Sus scrofa: one gene and its partners. The main gene of each other region encodes a partner of the protein of the gene in region 3 in a complex. Links are inferred from orthologs where the notes say so. Each region holds a gene or a part of one and is shown on either strand. Other genes may lie near its edges.

Evidence for each region. The genes of interacting proteins can lie anywhere in the genome.
Region 1: the proteins of NTRK2 (region 3) and FRS2 are in contact, whole or in part, in an NMR structure (PDB 2MFQ), measured with the Homo sapiens proteins. The link is inferred for Sus scrofa from reciprocal best matches to the Homo sapiens genes NTRK2 and FRS2. Residues at the interface, in NP_001018074.1 of Homo sapiens: Pro498, Asp499, Val501, Ile503, Gly504, Met505, Thr506, Lys507, Ile508, Pro509, Val510, Ile511, Glu512, Asn513, Pro514, Gln515, Tyr516, Gly518, Ile519; in NP_001036020.1 of Homo sapiens: Val26, Asp27, Asp28, Asp29, Gly30, Tyr59, Leu60, Cys61, Leu62, Arg63, Arg64, Tyr65, Gly66, Tyr67, Asp68, Ser69, Asn70, Leu71, Phe72, Ser73, Gly77, Arg78, Ile86, Ala88, Lys90, Phe98, Gln102, Met105, Gln106, Ser109.
Region 2: the proteins of NTRK2 (region 3) and NTF4 are in contact, whole or in part, in a crystal structure (PDB 1HCF), measured with the Homo sapiens proteins. The link is inferred for Sus scrofa from reciprocal best matches to the Homo sapiens genes NTRK2 and NTF4. Residues at the interface, in NP_001018074.1 of Homo sapiens: Phe291, Glu293, Thr296, Ser297, Asp298, His299, Cys302, Pro304, Thr306, His335, Val336, His343, Gly344, Cys345, Asn350, Thr352, His353, Met379, Gly380, Trp381, Pro382, Gly383; in NP_001382418.1 of Homo sapiens: Gly81, Val82, Ser83, Glu84, Thr85, Ala86, Ser89, Arg90, Arg91, Gly92, Glu93, Leu94, Ala95, Asp98, Ala99, Ser101, Gly102, Trp103, Thr105, Tyr135, Phe137.

What each region holds. Positions count from the first base shown.
Region 1 is NC_010447.5:33,724,094-33,728,233, forward strand, and holds the start of FRS2 (fibroblast growth factor receptor substrate 2), read left to right. Parts: upstream 1-1,340; 5' UTR 1,341-1,510; intron 1,511-1,744; exon of another isoform or gene 1,745-2,201; intron 2,202-4,140. UniProt on the Homo sapiens protein: Adapter protein that links activated FGR and NGF receptors to downstream signaling pathways.
Region 2 is NC_010448.4:54,271,293-54,275,289, forward strand, and holds the start of NTF4 (neurotrophin-4 precursor), read right to left. Parts: upstream 2,801-3,997; 5' UTR 2,678-2,800; intron 2,594-2,677; exon of another isoform or gene 2,047-2,593; intron 1,644-2,046; 5' UTR 1,518-1,643; intron 894-1,517; 5' UTR 882-893; coding exon 249-881; 3' UTR 1-248. UniProt on the Homo sapiens protein: Target-derived survival factor for peripheral sensory sympathetic neurons. May promote ameloblast differentiation and subsequent reduction in proliferation of ameloblasts.
Region 3 is NC_010452.4:30,356,838-30,360,337, forward strand, and holds part of NTRK2 (BDNF/NT-3 growth factors receptor), read right to left. Parts: intron 1,753-3,500; coding exon 1,447-1,752; intron 1-1,446. UniProt on the Homo sapiens protein: Receptor tyrosine kinase involved in the development and the maturation of the central and the peripheral nervous systems through regulation of neuron survival, proliferation, migration, differentiation, and synapse formation and plasticity.

The DNA of each region.
Region 1 (4,140 bases), on a different chromosome or scaffold from region 3:
CCCCAAGGACATTCTTTGGCTCACCTACCTTCATTTTTCCCTTTGCCAAAACCTCTACTCTTTATTTCCTTAACTAACCTTTTCTATCGCCTGTTGCTAACCCATAGTTTTCAAAATTACCCTCTGCTAAAGTGACTCTACTAGAGGAAAAATTGTTCTTATTAGTGATGAGGGAAGAAAATTGTTGATTTTTACCCAGTCCTACGTGGATACTAGTACACCACAGCTTATCAAGCATTTTCATTTTGAATTCCTACAAAAATCCAGAGATGATTATATATATATATATGCATACACACACATCAAATACATCAACTGTATTACAAATAAAGAAACAAGCTGAGAGAGGTCAAGCAACTCGCCCAGGGTGGAAAAATAAAAATAAACGACAAGATCCATGCAGTAAGAGTCCAGAGTCCCCAAGCTCTTGACCTCTATTGAAATTCCAAGTGATGATGGAATATAGGAATATAATTTAGTTCCTGCCCTTAAAGAATTTATAATTCTTTTTTTTTTTTTTTTTTTTTTTGGCTTTTTGTTGTTGTTGCTGTTGTTGCTATTTCTTGGGCCGCTCCCGCGGCATATGGAGGTTCCCAGGCCAGGGGTTGAATCGGAGCTGTAGCCACCGGCCTACGCCAGAGCCACAGCAACGCGGGATCCGAGCCGCGTCTGCAACCTACACCACAGCTCACGGCAACGCTGGATCACCACAGCTCACGGCAACGCTGGATCGTTAACCCATTGAGCAAGGGCGGGGACCGAACCCGCAACCTCATGGTTCCTCGTCGGATTCGTTAACCACTGCGCCACGACGGGAACTCCCCAAGAATTTAAAACTTGTGTTGGGGTAGGTGAGATTTATACACACAAGTTAAAATAAAGAGCCACCGTTTTTGTATTGGTACTGGTCTCCTCCTCTGCAAGATGTAGCTAACAGCACCGACCTCAAGGGGCTTGGGAATGATTAAACTGAGTAAAGCGCTTTATACAGCGACTATCACGCAGTATGCGGTCAATATATGTTAACTTATTATTTTTAAAGGAGGCAGATTAGAGTGGTAAGAATACTGGAGAGATCCAGGAGGCGGGTTGTAGGCGCTGGACCGTTGCATCTAAGTTCTCCGAGCCTCGGTTTCCTCTTCTGCAAAAGCAGGTGCCTGGAGTGGAACACGTCGAAGGAGGCAGCGGGAGTCTGGAGAATCGAGGGGCCGCGGCGCAGAAAGGGTTAGCGTCGGATTTGCCGGCGCCGGCGGGAGGGGCTCTGCCCCGCCCCACCCCGCCCCGCCCGGGAGGCGCCGGCAGCTCCAGCCTGTGAGCAGTTCCGGTGCCAAAACCCTTCCCTCCCCGCTCCCCCGGAAGTGCTTTTCCATAGTTCGAGCCGGAGAGAGGCCTTGTAGGTACTGCCGCTGAGGCTCGATCGGCTCGGAAGAGGGGCTCCTGCCTAGGTGGGAGCCCGGGGGTCCGCGCCTGCCGACCCGTGCCCTGCCCGCTCCCAGCGCCCAGGCGGACGGTGAGTGGCCGGCGGAGCTGACTGCGACGGCCGCGGGCCGCGTCGGGGCTGGCGCTCTCGGGCCCCCGCTGCCCGCTTGGGACTCCGGGCTGCAGGCTGGGCTGTCGGGGTTCGAGGAAGGGGGTTGTCGACCGCCGCGGTCTTTGCCGAGCCTGCGGGGCGGGAAGAAGCGGGTGGCTGGGCCGTGGGGTGGGCGGGGCGGAGCCGGGGTGGGGGTTCCTGGAGCTGTTGTTGCTGTTGGGACTCTAGAGTAAGGATGGGCTGGGCCTCCGTCCATCCGACCCCTCACTTAAGCTCCCCCAAGTACTCGCGCTGCCTCTCGGATTTGGTTTTCTCTCTCCGACCCGAGCCTGGGAATCTAGACCTCAGACTCAGTCTTGGGCTGTAGTTCTCGACTTTTGCTGTCTCTGGATCTGTCCTCGGGCTCGGTAGTTAGCTCGGGTTCCAGGGGTGTTGTCTCCTCCGACCCAGGGTTGGGCGATGCGTGTGTAGATGTCGGGGATCTTTTGCAAGGCTTTCCAACCAGACCCGCTTAGGGGTTGCCCAGGATCGATTGGGACCGGTTTTGGATACGTAGGTCACTGTGGGAGCAGCGCGCCTCCCATGATCTTTACTCGCTTGAAAGCTTACTCAAGCCGTTGTTGAAGTGACTTCTTAAAAAAAACAGCTTGCTTGAAGAAAAGCAGTTCAGGTAAATTCCCTCTTTTTCTCGGCAGTAAGAAATGATGCTATTCTCTAATCTGTACTCCTAATTTCTGTGGCTATCTGAAGTCACAGTTGTATGATGAGTTCAGTCTGTGGTTGTTGCACAAATTGACTGCAGAGGGTTGGAGAATTATACCTCCTCTTTCCCGACGTTTATATACCTTCATATTTGGGACTGTCATTTTCCTTAACTTTTAAAGAAAAATTGTTCTCTATAACTCCTAGGAGGTTCCTTATACTGTTACAGCTGTTGCTGCAATGCAGAGGTTCACACAAGTGGGTAGAGGTGTTTTGTTTTATGTTTTTTTAATTTATATTATGAGGTGTTTACTTTGGAGTAATTGAGCATTTCCTAGAGGAGCAAGTGATGTAGGTAGTTTTTTTTTTGGTGAACAGATTTTAGGTAATAAGCTACTCCTGAAAGGTTGGTAGGAAATAGGATTTACTCAATTTAATCGTGATTTTGAAATTATGATCGTAAGAGAAAGCAGTTACTGCAGATTTTGACTATCAGCGGATGACCATTGTTTTTATAAAGTATCTACACAGCACGTTTGTGAAACCTGTGACACTTTCATGTACTTCTTGTCTGGTGCTTATATTAGGGCTTATACTGTAGTTTTTGGGGGTTCTTATCTGCTTCTCTTTCCTCCCACCAGTGAAAGGGGAGGCAATATCATGAATTAGGGAAAATAGACTGAAGTGACAAGTTCAGTGAGCTCTCTTATGCAAAAGAAAATTTATTTTAGGCTTGTTGATATTTAACAGGCAAAGGGTGGATGATTTTTAAAGTTCCTGGAAAAAATTGTAGACAAAAAAGTTAGTTGTCCAACTTTTAGATTTAGATAGAAACCATAGATTCTTAGCTACTTGAAATTCTCTAGTTCTTTTAGAGCATAGGGTTGAAATATTGGAATTGAGAGAATCTGGAAAAGGAGTTAAGTTAGATACGGTTATGGATCCGTCCTGAATGAAGGTATGATAGTTAATGTATTTCAAGGAGAAATAGTTCAAGATTTTTAAGAACAGAAAGAGGTAGGGAAAATCAGATACTTTCAGGTGTTGTAAATTTAATTATGTTCACATCAATTCAGTAGATATTGAACATTTACATTGTAAATTATATTATTCAAGTCAGTTCAACAGATATTGCTATGCTAGGCATCAAGCTATGTTAGACAGCCGTGTAAGAGTAAGTAAAGATATAGCCACAACAACCAAGCTTCGTGGCAATAGTTTTCCAAAGTGTGTCAGAAATCATAATGAGCATGTTAAATATTTAGGCATATTACATTTTTAAATTTTACAATTGGAAGTGAGTGCTGTGTGCTTCATGAAAATCACTGCTAGGCAATATAGCATACTAAGATTAAGTTGTTGCTCTTCCATAGTTTGAAATCAAGAAGGTGATGTCAGATATTTGCATAAAAATTTACAACATATAGAAATAAATGTAAATACTTGCTACATGAGTGGTTTGACCTAAAATTTGGAGTTGTACTAAAGGACAGTGGGTTCATTTTTAGCCAGAGTAAAATGAAAAGTGGTGGAGGTATAGTATTCCTTTATAATGCCTTTATAATGCTTATAAAGATAGCTCTGAAGCAATTATTTATTGAACATTTAGTGAGCACCAGGCTCTATGCTAGTTACTTTACGTACATTTTCTTCTTTTTTTTTTTTACATACATTTTCTAAGCATCACAACAACACCTAAGCATATTGCTTAATAATGACTGATACTTAAATAAGTAACTTAATCTGTACTATGTAGCTAGCAGGTAATTGAGACCCAATTTGAATCCAGATCTGCCTGGTGTCAAAGCCTATGTTTTTGTGCTACAACATGCTACCTCCCAATAAACTGGTAACCTGAGTTCAACATTTCAGAGGGTAAGACTTTTTCTAAGACACAAATTTAGGAA
Region 2 (3,997 bases), on a different chromosome or scaffold from region 3:
AAATATTGGCTATCATCCTCATCCTCATCCTCAAGTTCATCCAGGAGAACTCCTATTCATCCTTCAAAACCCCAGTGGGTTTCACAATCTATCTTGCCCAGAGTAAGCTCTCAAAATCGGAGAGCTGTGATTTTTGTGACCATTTGCCAATTTCCCAAACGGAGGCCCAGAGCAGCCAGGCCACCCCTGAGGTCTCTCAGCATCCAGCTCTCTTCTTCTTCTGCCTGCCCAGTGCCTGGGCATAGGCCTCAGGCCCGGCCAGTCCGGCTGAGGAGGGTGCAGACGCAGGCGGTGTCGATTCGAATCCATCGCCAGCCCACACGGCCCTGGGCATCAGCAGTCAATGCCCGCACGTAGGACTGCTTGGCCTTACATTCAGACACCCAGTGCCTCCGGTCCACGCCCCGGCAGCCCCCTCCACCCCCACCGGGGCCGTCCTCCCCAGCGCTGTCAGCCTTGCAGCGGGTTTCAAAGAAGTACTGGCGAAGGGGACTGCCACCAGCCGCAGGCACCTCACCCAGCACCTCCACCTCACGCCCACGCAGGTCCACGGCAGTCCGGCGGTCTGTCACCCAGCCGCTGACTGCATCACACACGGCCAGCTCTCCCCGGCGACTTGCTGGTGCTGTCTCGCTCACCCCCCGCCGACTGCGGTTGGCTGGGCTGCCGGCTGGCTCCCCAAAGGCCCCAGCCTCCAGCAGGAAGAGCAGGGGAGGCCCCGCAGGGGTACCCCTGGACAGGGCTACTCGGGGCGACAAGAGGTCCCATTCTGCGGCTGGAAATGGGGGCAGTGGTGAGGGCGGGGAGTAGGGCTCCATGGGGACACTGGGGAGGAGGAAAAGTAGGAGGATGGGGAGGGAGCCTGAGGGGTAGGGGAGCATCTCGCTGAGCACCTGAGGATACAGAGAGGAAACCTGCAGTTAGAGAGGAGGATAGCTTAGTGGAGGGACCGAAGGGAACTCCAAGGGGACCTGCGTGCCACCATCACGGGGAGGCCCTTGTATTGGAGCCCGATATTCTAGGACTTCGATAACGCCCCACTTCCAGATTCATGCTAATTCTTCTTCCATTATTAAGAATGGCCAATAAGCGCTAACATACAGGCTCAGAGAGGTTCGTGGCTTGCCTCAGGTCACGCAGCCAGCGAATGCCAGAGATGGGACTCACAGCCTGTCCAGGCCACTCTACTCTGCCATCCTGCCTCTCTCTAGCTTCCAGGAACCCTAAGCCCGGCAGCCTGGAGGAGGTTCGAGGTTCCAAAATTCTGAGAAAGATCAAGTCCCGGAATCCCAGGGAGACCCACGTTCAGCTTAAAACGGCCACTAAGAAGGCAAGACACTTCCTCTCAGGTGGGGCTTTGGTTTCCCTGTCCGTGAAAACGACCCAAGGCCTGGAGATGCTGGCAGGGGGCGGGGCTTGGATGTTTGCTGTTTCTCTAGAACATTCTGCAAGCCTGTGGGTTCTGGGACAGGGTGGCCCGGAGAGGACTGAAAAGCGGCATCGGGTGGTTACCAGACCTGTCAGCACCTCCTCCGCCTCCGAGCTCCAGGGCTGGGGGCCCCCGGGCTCCGGGGGGCCCCTGTGGGGGACACAGGTGGCCCCCTCCTTCCTGACATCTCAGGAGACACGGAGGGGGCAACCACCTAGGGGAAGAAGGGAACAGGCAGGTTACAGAGGCAAGTGGGGGAGGGGGCCTGAACCCCTGAAAGGTCCCCTTGTGGGTGTTCCTCTTAAAGCAGAGGGTACCCAGACTCAAGGCTGCACCCCCCTCCCAGAGGCCCCTGCCCTGCTCAGGTGATGGCTCCTGGATAGAAAGCAGATGGGGGGAGGAGCACTGAGGGTAGACGCTGAGGATGGAGGCTGGAAAAGATTACAGCCTCCTCGGCCCATTCATCTCTCAGACGGGGCGGGGGCGGAGCCGGCCTGGACACCCGGGTCCCTGAGGGCCCACACTTAAGAAGCCCTGGGTCCCCGGAGGCTGCTTGCTGGAATGTTCTCTCCTCGCAGGACAGGCCAGGGCCCGTCCAAGACTTCTGCTGCACATACCTGGAGTGGCTGCCTGCCCCGGCTGGGAGATGGGGAACCGGGGAAGGCGGAAGTGTGAAGAGGGCCACTCACTGACCCAAGCAGAACCGGGAGTCCGGGTTCCCGGCTGCCTCCGTTCTTAGATCGGCAGACCCGATTCCCGGCTAAGATCGGGAGTCCAGGGCCCCAGCTGCCTCCACCCTTAGGCGTCCAGGCTCTCGCCCCCTCCTCCCTCCGACCCAAGAGCCCCAGGGGCCCCGGCCGCCTCTTCCTTCAGGAGCCCAGGCCCCCAGCTCCCTTCCTCAGATGCAGGAGTCCAGGCCCCTAAATCCTTCTTCCCCAGACCCAGGGGTCCGGCCCCCCAGTGCCCTCCTCCTTCAGATCCCGGAGTTCTGGATTCAAGCCCGTCCTTCCCAGGTAGGCAGAAACGCGGACTCCCAGGCCCGTCCTCCCGCAGAAAGTTAAACTTGGGAGCCCGGACGCCTGAGACGGCGCCGCGGGTGACCGGCTGTCCAGCGGGGACACCTCCCTCCTGCCTCAGTTTCCTCCGCCAAGCCCCGCCCCCGCGGCCCCGCCCCCGCCCCTCCCCACCCGGGGGCCGGGCGACCCGGACACCCGCATCCTGGGGGAGGAGGTGCGCGGAGCCTCTTACCTGGGGCGCCCTCCTCGGTTCCCCCGGCTGCCCCCGGCGCGGCGGCGGCTCCTCCTCCTCCTCCTCCTGCTCCTGCTCGCTGGCTGCAGGGACGCCCGCTCGCCCGCCGGCTCCTCGCTGCACACGCTCCGGAGGGCCCGGGTCGGGGGCGGGGGCGGGGCGGCGCCCGACGGCGGAGGAGGGGCCGGGGGATCCCGCCTCCCACACGCGTGCCGGGACCTCGGAAGCCGGGCCTGGCTCGCTCAGCCCTCGGTCCGCCTCAGTCCCAGGAGGCCAGGCGCCAGCCCCCCTCCTCCCTCCGACCCAGGAGTCCGGGTCCCCAGCCCCCTCCTCCCTCGGCCCCAGGAGTCTGGCTGGACCCCCAGCCCCCTCCCCCCTCCGCCCCAGGGAGCGCAGCCCCCCAGCCCCCTCCTCTCTCACACCCAGGAGTCTGGGCCTGAGATTCCTTTGCGTTCTTTTGCCAGTGAAGTGTCAATCCCGGGCAGATTCCCACCCTCAGCGCTCATCCCCGACTCTCCCAAGAGCTCCGAGCCAGACATTAACCAGCTGGGCTCGGGCAGCGATAAGGCCGGATGCGCCCCAGGAGGAGCCGGGGATGTGGGGGGCTCTCCCACAGCAGCCCTCTCTGCTGGAATTTCCTGGGTGGGGACTGGGGAGAGGGGGCTCGTCCTGAGTTCAGATAAGAGAAACTCAAGGTATTCTAGGGCCCCGAGGTAGACAAAGAGGTGACATGGCAACAGAATGACCTGCTTCGAGGAAGAACGTGCAAAGTGACAGCTGAAGGGAGATGCGGGGGAAGGCAGAGAGATAAGGGAAAAGGGGGACAGATTCCCAGACGAAGAGGGAGACAGAGACCCGAGAGGGAGAGAGACAGAGCGAGACACGGATCCAGACACGCAGCCCCAGAAAAGGGGGAATCCCACAAGCGGGACAGAGACCCAGAGAAAGAGAGACCTTAAGACAGAAGCAGATCAGACGGGAGCTGGCCCTTCACCTCTCCCCCTGCAGCTATTTTCAGGAGGAAAGCTGACACTGCCTTGGCGGCGGGGTGGGGTGGGGTGGGGGGGAAAGGCTCATCCCTACCCCTCCTTCAGCCTAAATATAGCATGGCAAGGTGGCAGGAAGGGTGTCCCCGGATTAGGGTGTTCCCCTCACCTCTCCCCAGTGCCCGCCAAGGCTACATAGAAGGCGGCAGCAGTTGTTTATTGGCCGTGGGGGACGGGCGCCTCCCAGTCTTTGAGTGTCCACTCAGGTCACTTTCCTGAATTCTCCATGCCCCCCCATCCCTGAGCACCCCACATGCCCTACCCCCTACCAGAG
Region 3 (3,500 bases):
ACTGGGATAACAGGAAGACGTACTGTGTAATGAGCATCACTGCCTTCTTGTTGACTGTTCGGTGCAGGTGGATTTGCAGTCGTCACCTTTGTCATGAGGCTGCCCAGCGAGCCACACTAGTACAGGCTGTCCAAGCAGCCCCCTGCCCCACAGGCCTCCAAGTTTCTAATTTCCCTCTCCCTCTGCCAAGCCAGCTTGAGTGGCTTTGATTAACTCGGGGCCATTATGGTGAGGAATTCTATTCGAGCATAGGTCCTGATATTCAAATGCAGGGCTCGGCCTCCACAATGGTAGCAGGTGTTTGGGCGAGCAAGGAAGGACACGTCACTGAATAAGAGTGCCCAATGCAGGTAAATCCACAATGACTGTCCCTGCTGTTACTGGGGCTCACACTGAAATTCTCTTGCTGGCCACAGAATGGACACCTGATGCCAGCCATCCATTTCCCAACCCAAACCACTGGTCGGATGGGAACTATTACCACTCCTAGAAAAACAAGGCAGGGTCCCATCAAAGGATGCAACTCAATCATCCCAGGTAAGCAAAACATTGCCATGACCTGGTGTCTCATCCCTGGATGAGAGAGCAGGATTCTGAATCCCAAATGAGTAACAAGGAGTTAGAAAGTATATCTTGTATAGTTCATGAGCCAACCCAACCTAGTTCACCTGCTCACAGATCTGCATGGGTTTTGCCACTGTGACACTTGAGAGAAAAATCATGTGTGTTTATCAGAACAATGCTTGAAATTATTCCTCTGAGAGTTCTCATTCTGGCTCAGTGGTTAACAAACCCAACTAGTATCCGTGAGGACACAGGTTCAATCCCTGGCCTTGCTCAGTGGGTTAAGGATCCAGCATTGCTGTTAGCTATGGTGTAGGTTGCAGACGTGTCTCGGATCCCACATTGCTGTGGCTGTGACACAGGCCAACAGCTGTAGCTCCAATTCGACCCCTAGCCTGGGAACCTCCACATGACTCGGGTGTGGCCCTAAAAAGACCAAAAAAAAAAAAAAAAAAAAAGAGAGAAAGACAGAAATTATTCCTCCCCATCCCACCACCCCAGGAGAAATATGAGTCCCTGTTCCTGGACTTGGCTTTGGCCCTATGACTTGATATGGCCAATGGCATCTAAGCTAAAGAAACTGTGTGCCAATCCTGAATGCAGGTCTTAAGAAGCCCTGTGCAATTTTTGTTGCCCTTGTGTGTTCTGCACTCATCCTAAGAAGCACATCTCCTGTGTGGCCATTGCTTCTTCACCTTGCACCCCAAACCAAAGACACATGGAACAAAACTCCCCAAGCTGACCTACAGACCCATGGGCAAGACTAAATAACTGTGCTGTAAGCCCCTGGGTCTGGGGAGCGGTTTGTCAGATGCATGATTTTGTCAATGGTTGCGTGATGGAGCTTATCTTCTCTCCAGATGGAAAAACATGGGTACTCACCGTCATCGATTCCAGGCCAGCCCATGAAGTGAGCAGAAATCTGTTTCTCATCCTTCCCATACTCATTCTTGGCCACTAACTTGTAGTCCCCATTGTTCATGTGAGTAGGATTATCCAGCTGGAGGCAGCCGTGGTACTCCGTGTGATTGGTAACATGGATTTTAGTACAGATGTATTTGGACTCATTCAAAATTGCCCCGTTATAGAACCACTGAAGCGCTGGTTTGGGGTTGCCTTTCACAGTGAATGGAATGCACCAGTGGTGGTCTGAGGTTGGAGATTCGAGAAATGTGATAGTTGGAGCAACTAAATTGAAAAAGAGAGAGTTAATAGCATCAGAAAGCTCAGAATTCTCCCCATCTCCAGATTTCTGTGTCATCGATAGGGGATTTTATTCAACCACTGTTTGGGTTAAGAAAACACGTGACCGGCAACTCTGGAATCCATCATTCTTTTGTATCATCATCAAGGTTGATTTAACTCCCTACAGAGAGCTTCAGAGAGATTCCTTTCCCTACTGTGCTTAAGACCCAGGCATCAGAGTCATTTTTACATCTAGTCAGTGTGAGAACCAGCTCCAAACAGATCCCAGAGATTTCCAACAGTGCAAAGGGTTCATCTGAAGTGGGCTCTGGTTTCTAATATATATGCCTTGATACTTTGGAGATTAACCATCAAAACACTGAGGGCCACTATTTTCACAGTACTTCACTAAACAATACAAAGAATGACTTTGGAAATCTTGCCTGAAGCCCTGATCTCACATTCCTCATCTAAAACAAATAAAACTGGTCCATGCAATGTTGCTACCGATGTTAATCGATTATTATAGTAAGATCTGATAAACTCACACATTTTTCACAGATTGTCAACAGTAAATTCTCTGTAAATGCATCATTTTTTTTATAGTACAGTCCAGGTTTGCTACAATTCCAGATGCCAATGTTTTGATCATTTAAATGTCTGAGGTCTTAGCTAAACCTGAACAAACTAGAGATTATTTTAACATTAAATACAGAGCACTTCATGCTTAGAGGGAACAAACATTATCAAGTAGCATCTTTAAACAGAGTACTTATCCTAAGTGAAGACATTTGAAATCCCTCCTAAGGGTTTATTTTGATGTGGTCTGACTTGGAGAATTATAAAATCAAGGACTAGAAAAGATCTTGGAGACCTCATAGCATTATTTTTTTTTTTCAGATGAAGAAATCCAAGTGCAATGAGGTTAAATGACTTGGTCAAGGTTACGGAGGGAGGAAAATCTAGAACAAGAATCCAGATCTCCTAGTGCCTAATTCAGTAGTCCTTCCCCTCAGGCATGGCTCCTGCTTGTTCGTGGACATCACACAAGGGGAGGGGTGGTGGGAGAGGGGATCACAGCCTGCTAACAAATACATTCGGAGTGGGGTCACTGCAACCTCTCAGTTGTTCCTACTCTTTCTCACTTATTCTTTCTACTTGGAATCTAAACGTTGAGAGAGACCAATTCTCCAGACCCTGGTGACTACATAGATATTAACCTCAACTAAGAAAATTTTGAGTTGGGGTGCCCTTATTTGTAGGTCTGTGTTACAAACACAGGAGCCATGGTGGGGCAGGAACAAGACCCCCGCCTTCCTCCCACCAGCCCAGGTCCTCACACCCAGATCCCTACGTTTTCCTGCCATCATGCTCAAATGATCTTTTTAGGTGGTGTTAATTTAAGGACATAACCTTGGAAGCTGGTTGCATGTCTGTGGGGATAACATTGACATCAAGCTTCCCAGTGGGTCAAAATGAGGAGAAATTATGAGTCCAGGACCCATTGGGCATCGGGGTAGTACTGAGAGTGACCCAAGGTGGATGATTTCAATCACTCCGACAATTACATCCCAAATGTGTGTTAGGAATGACTGGTAACCACTGTGTCAATATCTTGTCATGTGTGTGATGAATACCCATATTTACACACATGCACACTCATGTTTTTCCCATCCAAATCCTAATCCAAATAGAGTAAAACCTCATTAATTTATACCATGGCAGAATGTGCAACGATGTGAAGACGATGT